2 linked regions of the Arabidopsis thaliana genome follow. The protein of the gene in region 1 interacts with the protein of each later gene in a pairwise test. Each region holds a gene or a part of one and is shown on either strand. Other genes may lie near its edges. The genes, in order: MBD6 and AT1G20870.

The links.
Region 2: the proteins of MBD6 (region 1) and AT1G20870 interact in a two-hybrid assay, tested with the Arabidopsis thaliana proteins (one study listed by BioGRID).

The regions. Positions count from the first base shown.
Region 1 is NC_003076.8:23,950,010-23,954,394, reverse strand, and holds MBD6 (methyl-CPG-binding domain 6), read right to left. Parts: upstream 2,264-4,385; 5' UTR 2,075-2,263; coding exon 1,766-2,074; intron 1,357-1,765; coding exon 1,234-1,356; intron 1,156-1,233; coding exon 910-1,155; 3' UTR 688-909; downstream 1-687. Other genes in the region: ACT4 (actin 4), read right to left, coding at 2,809-2,874, 2,980-3,593, 3,742-4,135, 4,227-4,286. UniProt on the Arabidopsis thaliana protein: Transcriptional regulator that binds CpG, CpNpN and CpNpG (N is A, T, or C) islands in promoters regardless the DNA methylation status. Plays probably a role in gene silencing. May associate with histone deacetylase proteins (HDAC).
Region 2 is NC_003070.9:7,258,431-7,263,420, reverse strand, and holds AT1G20870 (HSP20-like chaperones superfamily protein), read left to right. Parts: upstream 1-1,940; 5' UTR 1,941-1,979; intron 1,980-2,626; 5' UTR 2,627-2,645; coding exon 2,646-3,792; intron 3,793-3,889; coding exon 3,890-4,134; 3' UTR 4,135-4,398; downstream 4,399-4,990. Other genes in the region: AT1G20880 (RNA-binding (RRM/RBD/RNP motifs) family protein), read left to right, coding at 94-136, 240-542; AT1G20875 (uncharacterized protein), read right to left, coding at 1,740-1,940; PHT1;8 (phosphate transporter 1;8), read left to right, coding at 4,588-4,990. UniProt on the Arabidopsis thaliana protein: Acts as an anti-silencing factor that prevents DNA hypermethylation and gene repression.

The sequences.
Region 1 (4,385 bases):
TTTCCGTTTGACTCTTAAGGTTTTCTCTTCCTCCCCAAAATTGCTTTTTGAAGAGACAGACCGTCGCAGCAAACTCAGTGGCAATACTGTAAATTTTAATAAACAGAGAGGGGAAATGATAGTCAAAAGCCAACAAAACTTAAAACCTTTTCGTTTCACTTTTTTTCAAAAGCTTGGGATACAAGACTAATAAGGAAGCCTCTGGTACACCTAGAAGGTTACAAGACCAAAAATTACTAAATTAGACGATGGGTTGGGAGAGTTCCAATGGCCTTTTTGATAATTTATTGCAGATATTAAATGTGCTACAACCAGTTACATTCGAACCCCACAAATTGTTTGGTTAACAAAATCTAAAATTATGTTTGGGAAAAATATAATTGCGTCTGCCGGGAGTCGAACCCGGGTCTATTGCTTGGAAGGCAATTATCCTAACCGTTGGACTACAGACGCTTCTTGTCTTGTATCAGTGCAGTATTGTTGATGTTTCTTCTTATCCATTAGATTTAGATAACCTGAGCAGGTGAGACATGTCAAGCATTAGTTCTTGAATTACGACACTGGTTTCACAAAGAACAAGATCTTTTCCTAAACACAAAGTAAAAGACTTTGGAACACAGAATAGTTCAGTATCAAAATGTCTAAGAAGAATAGCTTTGTTACTACGACAGTGTCTTCAATTTCATCAGTCAAAAGTCGAATGGTTATCACGTTCCAAAAGCAAACACAAAGATGCATATCCCCTTATCATATTCTTCCAAAAACCGCTACAAAAATTATAGTACACATAACTTGATGATTGATGAATGAAGACTAAACAAGAATTATCCAATTAAGTAACCCTAACATATCTGTGTATCTTACCATAGATGCAACAACCCAAAAATCGCCACCAGGTCATCATAGTCTTCAAGCCGACACTTTACTAGGGTTTCGGCTTGTGATAAAGGTAAACGCAGTGCTCCAATCTCGTCTCACTGAGTCTTGAACCTTGACGTCCCCAATATTAGGTATCCAACCTTCTTCTCCTGCGTTTGCCATAGACCAGCTTACCTTGTCTGGTGGATTCTTAAAATCAAAGTCCAATGGCGGTGGCGGAGGTGGAGGCACTGTAGCGGTTCTGGTGACTCTATTGCTTCCTTGGCCTTCAAAATGCTGCAAATGCAAAATTCAATACACATCACAGGTTTGAAACCAGGGTGAAAGGTTTAATCTTTAAGCATGTAAACTCACGTCTGGATTGAAATATGTATTCTCAGCTTTCTTGGTGCCTCTTTTAGAAGTTCCATGTTCCAAGTAGTACAGCACCTCAGTCCTGGACCGAAACTTACGTCCTGTATTTGGTTCGTAATAGTACTGCAAAACCAGATAAGAAAATGTCACAAGTCTACACATCAATATCTACACCCATATTAGCATCGAGTATAACAACACCAAAACTTCATCTCTTCAATCACAATATATACCAAACCAAACCATCTAAATCCACCTGATAAATCAAAGTAACACTAATCACACTGATAAAGTGTATGATTCAAGTCCCAATACACCATTAACATAATCTAAACAAACTCATTAATGCTTAAGCAGAACCAACCACATCATTTTACTACATCATTACACTTGTCACTACTTTAAAGGCAAGATTTTTAAACCAAAGAGAACAAAACAACAGCAATCAAAGAATCCTCAATTTGTAGTCTTCAAGCAACAACGCAGCTCAAAACTTCATAGAGAAAAGCAGAGTCAAGCTGAGATTCTTTACCTTATCCACCGAACCAGCTGTGGCACCGGAAGTTCGAATCTTATCTTCAACTCTCCAACCAGGAGGCAACCAATTATCTCCAGGCGCCGCACGCTTCCGCGACTTCGATTCCGTCTGATGATTCACCTGATCAGTGCCGTTAGCCATCCCGATGCGTACGCTCTCTCCCGAACCAGAAATTCCGATTCCTCCCTGAATCGGTCGTCGTTTCGCACTACTGTCTAGGGTTCCGTCACCGGCGGAGGAGATGAAGGCTCCGGAGGCGAGAAGTGGATCGGGAGGGAAATCGCCGGCCACAGAATCTGACATACGAATTAGGGATTTGTCTTCACCAATGAGCAATGAGATCGCAGATTTTAACGGCGACGATCTCGAGAAATGGATTCTCCGTCGCAGCTTCTGTTTCTGGGTTTACGATTCGGTTCGGTTAAACCGAGATCGAATAAGAAATTAAAATTTAGTTAACCATCAACAATTCGTTTCTTCTTTTCTTTACCAACAAACATAATAAACACGTTTTATTACTAAATGAAACATTTAAACTCATCTTCTCATCACTAATCCATCAGTTTAACATTTTGTGTTGTGTTTATTGACACTTATTAGACCACATCCATTTAACCGAGTAATCTAAGATTTAGTGAGTTTCGACAATATGCATTTATATGTCACAATTGTTTGTACTAGATCAACATTATGGAGCTTGTTTTGTGTTTGATACGGATGTCTTTGAAGTATATTAGTCACAATTGTTTAACCATCACAAAATCTCTTTTGAGTAACAAATAAATTAAGTTTAAAATAGAAAATATAATAATTGAAATTAGTCGCTTATATATAGTACATTGGGAGTGGAAATTGTTTAAAGAAAAGTATGCTTAGTTGAAAAATTAACATAGAGAGGCTATTCAAAAAAAAAAGGATAAAAGAGAGATTAGAAAATATAATGGAAAAATGTGGCATTTGGTAGTAATCTCAATGTTTTTAACCTTCTGTCTTTTACTTTTACTTCCGTCTTCGTTTGGTGATCTTAGGAACTGTGATTAGAAGCATTTCCTATGCACTATTGAGGGTCCAGATTCATCGTACTCTGCTTTCGCAATCCACATCTGTCAAGTTTTCAAACACATACCAATATTTATATCAAAACAAACTTATGAATGTTATATTATACATGATCAAATAATAATAAAAATGTATATTAATGTGTTCACCTGCTGGAAAGTGCTGAGTGAAGCCAATATAGAGCCACCGATCCATACACTGTACTTCCTCTCCGGTGGAGCCACGACCTTAATCTTCATACTACTTGGAGCCAAAGCCGTAATCTCTTTGCTCATTCTATCACCAATCCCTCCAAACATTGTGGTTCCACCACTTAGCACAATGTTACCATACAAGTCTTTCCTAATATCCACATCACATTTCATGATAGAGTTATATGTGGTTTCATGGATTCCTGGATTTTCCATTCCGATCATTGACGGCTGGAACAGAACTTCCGGACACCGGAACCTCTCTGCTCCAATGGTTATCACTTGTCCATCAGGAAGCTCGAAGCTTTTCTCAACGGACGAGCTTGTTTTGGAAGTCTCTAGCTCTTGCTCGAAGTCTAGAGCAATGTAAGAGAGCTTCTCTTTCATGTCTCTAACAATTTCACGTTCAGCAGTTGTGGTGAAGGAGTATCCACGCTCTGTGAGGATTTTCATGAGGTGGTCCGTGAGGTCACGACCTGCTAGGTCAAGACGTAGGATTGCGTGTGGGAGAGCGTAACCCTCGTAGATTGGTACCGTGTGGCTCACACCATCTCCAGAGTCCAAAACAATACCTAATCAATAATTTGCAAAAGAACCAATTAGGGTTGTCCATAAAAGCATAACCAAATAGTCCTTAAAATAGTTCATATTATTTAAAATCAAGCATGAAAAAAAACTGGTTATAGATTGGATCAACACAAATATAAGTGTGTTACTGACCAGTTGTACGGCCACTGGCATAGAGTGAGAGAACAGCTTGAATGGCAACATACATAGCAGGAGTATTGAATGTCTCAAACATGATCTGAGTCATCTTCTCACGGTTAGCTTTCGGATTGAGAGGAGCTTCGGTCAAGAGAACCGGATGTTCTTCAGGGGCAACACGAAGCTCATTGTAGAAAGTGTGATGCCAAATCTTCTCCATGTCATCCCAATTATTAACAATTCCATGCTCAATTGGGTACTTCAGAGTCAAGATACCACGTTTTGATTGAGCCTCGTCTCCAACATAAGCATCCTTTTGTCCCATCCCTACCATCACACCCGTGTGGCGAGGACGGCCTACAATGCTCGGAAAAACCGCTCTTGGTGCATCGTCACCCGCGAATCCGGCCTAAGCACGGGATATATTTTTGAGTAGTCGTTTATGGCATAGCCTTATATATATGTGACATAGCAATAAGAGTCTTAGAGAGAAACTTTACCTTAACCATTCCAGTTCCATTGTCACAAACAAGCGGTTGAATGTCTTCACCGTCCGCCATTCTTCAATCTATATATGAATATGAATCAAGACCGGTAACAAACAATTGTAATATGCAAATAATGTAACGGTTCCCATGAAATTTTCATTCAACAAGCCA
Region 2 (4,990 bases), on another chromosome or scaffold:
TATAAGTGTTACTCTTCTTTTCTTAAAGAGTGTTTAGCCAAAACTTTACTCACCTGTCTCTAATATTAGCTGTGCTTTTTGGGGTTCTCTCAGGGTTACACCATATGGACCTGACTACATGTACTCACAGTCTCAGGTAGGCGCTTGAAATTATTGCAGTTCCTTCTTACCTTCTTTATGCATTTTAAACTGTTGTGGCTTTAGTTATAAACTCATGTCTTCTCTTCATGGTGTTGTAGGGTTTCTATGGTCCTTACATGGGTCAACAGTACCTTCAGGTTTATGGAGTACCTGGGGCAGTTAACTCACCGGGTTATCAATATGGGCAACTGAGCCATACTATTCCTGGTGCTCACGGTTATACAGCGGGTCAAGGTTATTCACATCCAGGAAGTCATGTTCTACAGCTTGGTGCCACTTCACCTATGTCTGCTATTCAATCTCCATACCCTTCTCCTTCAGCTCCAACGCACCAACGTGTCATCGTCCAGACTCCTCCTCAGTATATACAGAGTAGCGGTTCTGATCAGACAACAGGGTGATCAACGTAAGCAAATTCTTGGATTCTTTTTTGATGGTCCAAATTGGATTGAAGTTCGTACACACTTACACGACCTCATTGTTATTTATCGGTTTTCAGTTAGTAATCCTTAAAGATTGCAGAAAAGGGAAGAAGTCCAGGACAAATGCTACTCTGGCAGGCTTCCTGTTTAAGCTTAGCACATTATTTATTTTCGCATTCTAGAGGTAAGCTTGTTTCCTTAGGTGCCCTTTTAAGTTTCAGTACTTGCAAATGTTTTCGATCTCACCTCATTACCGTCGTTACAGGTATTAAGTAGTCTTGCTCACTGAAGAAGTCAAAAAAGGGGGAAAGGAGAATGGAAGTTTCAGGGTTTGTGCTTCTGTTATCTTTAACCCTCTCATCCTATGTATATAGCCCACAACAAGCTTGATGGCATAAACTATATGAATAGTTTCACCCCGGAAACAAGGGTTTTCGCGGTAAACTGGTAGGAATAAGTTTGGTGTACAAAGAAAGTTCATATATATATAAACACATACATAAATGCATATAGAATGGTGGAATCAACATCTGATTCTTTTGGGTGGTAAAAGTAGTCTTCTTACTACACACTCTCTTAAGGCATATGAGTGTTGGTAATATTACTAGGTAGATTCTCACGTCCTCTTGAGTCAAGTCCTCTGCATTGTAAGTAAAAAATTAATGACTATGGAGCTCACTTCAGCTTCTTTGTCTGTGCATAAATTTTAGCTCCAGGATTCTTCTCTTTTCTATGTCTGTACAGTTTCTAGACTGATAAATTGTTCTTCTCAATTGTTTCTGTCTATGACTCCTATCTTCTACTCTGATTCCTCTGTTTATACTCCATTTATCACTTCGTTTACCACTTGCTTTCAAGATGATAGATTCGAGTTTTTAGTTAAATTCATCGTCATTTAAACCATTTTTAAAGAGTCCAATTTTTGGGGGTGGATGTAATTACGTTTCCTTCTTTGATCCATCAAAGTAAAAATTGATCAACACATAATTAAAAGGATTACATAATGAGGTAGTGGCATAGTAATGATGTTTTGATGTCCGAGAAAACTGATTTAGAGATAGTTTAGTCAGCACAAACAAGATTAATGTTCCCATTTTCCTACAACTTCCTCTCGTTTAAAAGAATAAGCTTTATCAATGAGAATAAGACATACAAAACATTTGGGCCTTATACTTTTTAAAAGGCCCAAAAGTGCTTCAACAAGACGGCACGTGGTGAGCCAGGTGACAAGTGATACCTCCAAATGCGGTTATTTGCGGGACCCACGTGGTAGCCACGTGTAGCAAGCAAAGGACCCCCATCCTCTTTTGCATTTTTCTCCTTACACCAAACATTTCTTTCTCGCAGAGAAATCTCTCTTCTCTTCACCTCCATCATCCTCCTCAACCCAAAAACATCACGACGAAATTAAAAAAGGTAAAATCTGCCACTGAGAATTTTCTGTCATGCTTAAGCTTCGAATTTCTTCTCGTTTTTTCTCCATGAATGTTGCTTGAATTTTCACAATCGCTGGACTTGTAAGGTTGAAATTGCATAATCCCTATTTATCTTCTGTGGTGGGAACAATGTGGGATCGATTTTTGCTGTAAAAAGTACAAACTGGTTCGTATTCAAGCGTAGTAACCTTTAGATTTAAGGAAAATTGTTGACTTTGAGCTAACTAGTGAAAAATTGTTGGATTGCGATATTTTCTGGGTAAAAATTGGTTTTTTTTTTTTTTTTGTATTGTGAAGAGTATATATGAAGCAGAGTTACTAATCTTTCTCAAAATATCAACATAGTCTTTTCAAATGTAGATTTTGCTGTTAATAAGTGAAGTTTTTAGGGTTTAATTTGAAGATGTTTTCTCCTTAGTAATGATAAGGCAAAACATTATGGAGACTAAAGTCATTGTTAGAAAAGGGTTAAACTTAAGAGATCTAGGGACTAAAATGATGGAGATTTTCAATGCTATGACTAAATTGGCAAATTTGAGACACTTAATTATGTCCTGTAACTATGTTTTTGGAATGTCCTTATTGCTTCCATTTGTGACAATGTTGCCACTTTCATATGTAATGCAGGTTCATTGATATCGAAGATATGAGTCTGTATAGCGACGGATTATCGAGTGATCAGTATTTCTTGGTTAATTTCATCATGAGCAACTACTTGGGTCCTGATGTCTATTCTGATAACCCAAGATGTTCATCTTCTCAAAGATTAGCTAGAGGTTTGCCACCTTACACTTTGATGCACATTGGATCTTCCTCTCTAACTGTTTCCCAGCTACAGAACTTGTACTATAATGTACTCAGAAACGCCAAGTCCAGCCTCCTTCTTCATCCAGACATGATTTATATGTATCTCAAGGGATATCTACCATTGGAACCAAGTGGAAAGTTTCCTCAGTTCACGCATTTTTTCCCGACGAATCTTCACCCGCAGAAAAGGTATTCCCCGAGCCACGAGATTGTGAAAGGAATTGTTGTTATTGATGATCCTGCAGTAGGGTTCATAAACAAGGAAGAACTCCAAAGGTTCAGATGCTTGTCGCGTTTGGACGACCTGAAAATCGATAGAGTCACGTCTTTATCTCCTCGGGTTAATCTGGATGAAAGCCGGGAAACTGAGCAGGACTGTTCAAGAAATGGTGATGCGACAGCTAATGGAGTTGTCACTAACGAGGACTACAATTCATCTGGTGAGCTTCAAGAAACGTGCAAGAGAAAGGAAGGGGAAGACGCGGTTGCTAGTTGCGTAATCAGTGAACCAGAAAGACTTTCGGGAGACATACCAGAAAGCCAGGGAATGAAGCAGGACTGTTCAAGAAACGGAGAATCTGCATTCAGTGGAATTGTCTCTGACCAAGACTACTATTCATTTGTAAAGCTTCCAGAAACATGCAAGCGAAAGAACAAGGAAGAAGAAGCAGTTACTGGTCATGCTGTTAGTGGAACGAGTAAAACCCCTGAAAGATTTCGTGAGACATACAAGAGAAGACGGTTCAAGAACTCATCAAAAAAGGCAACAAACAAGAATGGTGAAACTCTTATGGAAAGAGAAAAAACAGATAAGCCTATACCTTTTTCTTCGGAGATGAAGGAAAGCGATGCAGAACCGTCGGTTGTAACTACTGGAACAGCCAGTAAAGAAACTCTAGGATCATCTGTTGGTGTTGTTGACATTGGTGTCAACAAGGTTGCTTACTTTTTTCAGGTTGCTTTGCCCGGTGTCCGCAAAGATTACGGTATTATTACACTTTGTTGCACATCTAACTACTTCCATACACGCCACATCGGGTCTAAGTGCTAACACATGAATTGGTTTGGTCCTTTTGTGTGCAGGTGAATTCAGCTGTGAGATTGAATCAGATGGAAAGGTTATACTGGAGGGATCAACTACAAGAGGCGAAAAAAATATCAAGAGACATTCTCGGGTGTTCGAGATGAATATCCGGAAGCTGTGTCCGCCTGGACCATTCAAGCTGTGCTTTAACCTCCCGGGACCAGTTGATCCGCGGCTATTCTCTCCTAACTTCCGATCAGATGGTATCTTCGAGGGAGTCATCATCCGACACAAAAACTCTTAATTAAACCGGAGGTTCCTATACAAGTTTAGAACTTAGGATCTATGTAGATCTTTTATCTTTATGTTACTGGACATAGAAGGAAAGCGAATCAAACAGCATGCAAGGATAAATCTTTTACTTTTAGGACGTGACTCTGTAGATTTTGCATGATTTTGCTAAATATCCGTTTTCACAATGATTTCATCAAACTGAGAATCCGTTAATATTGTTTCTGTGTTGGCAGTGTTGCTGTTACTTGTTAGTAGTTACTGTTCTCATTTCTCAATAAGTGATCAAACCGAAACTAAAACAGTACTGAACCGACGGTTTAATTTGGCTAGAAAAATTCAAACAATTATGATGTTGTGCCTTAATGTGACAACATAGATAAAAAGAAGCTCTTACAAACAAACTGACTAAGTCTTCCTCGGAGTCAAAATCATAAGCATATTCCATGCTCATACCAATAAAGTAATGAAAATGACAAAGAGACTTATTAATCGTTATAAAGATCCTTGTTCTGTTTCACTCATCATGAATTCGAAATTTCGATATAACAAACCAAAAGGAAAGAAGCAAAAAAAAAAAAAAAAAGCTCTGGATTCGGAATCTCAGATAAAAAAACCAACGATGCCGATAAAGGTATTGTCGTCGCTTGATGTAGCTCGAACACAATGGTACCATTTCAAAGCGATCATAGTAGCGGGAATGGGTCTATTCACCGACGCATACGATCTTTTCTGCATAGCACCGGTCATGAAAATGATTAGTCATGTTTATTACAACGGTGACTCAATCAACACAGCCGTTCTTTCAACTTCTTACGCCATCGCTTTACTCGGCACAGCCACGGGTCAACTAGTCTTCGGTTACCTCG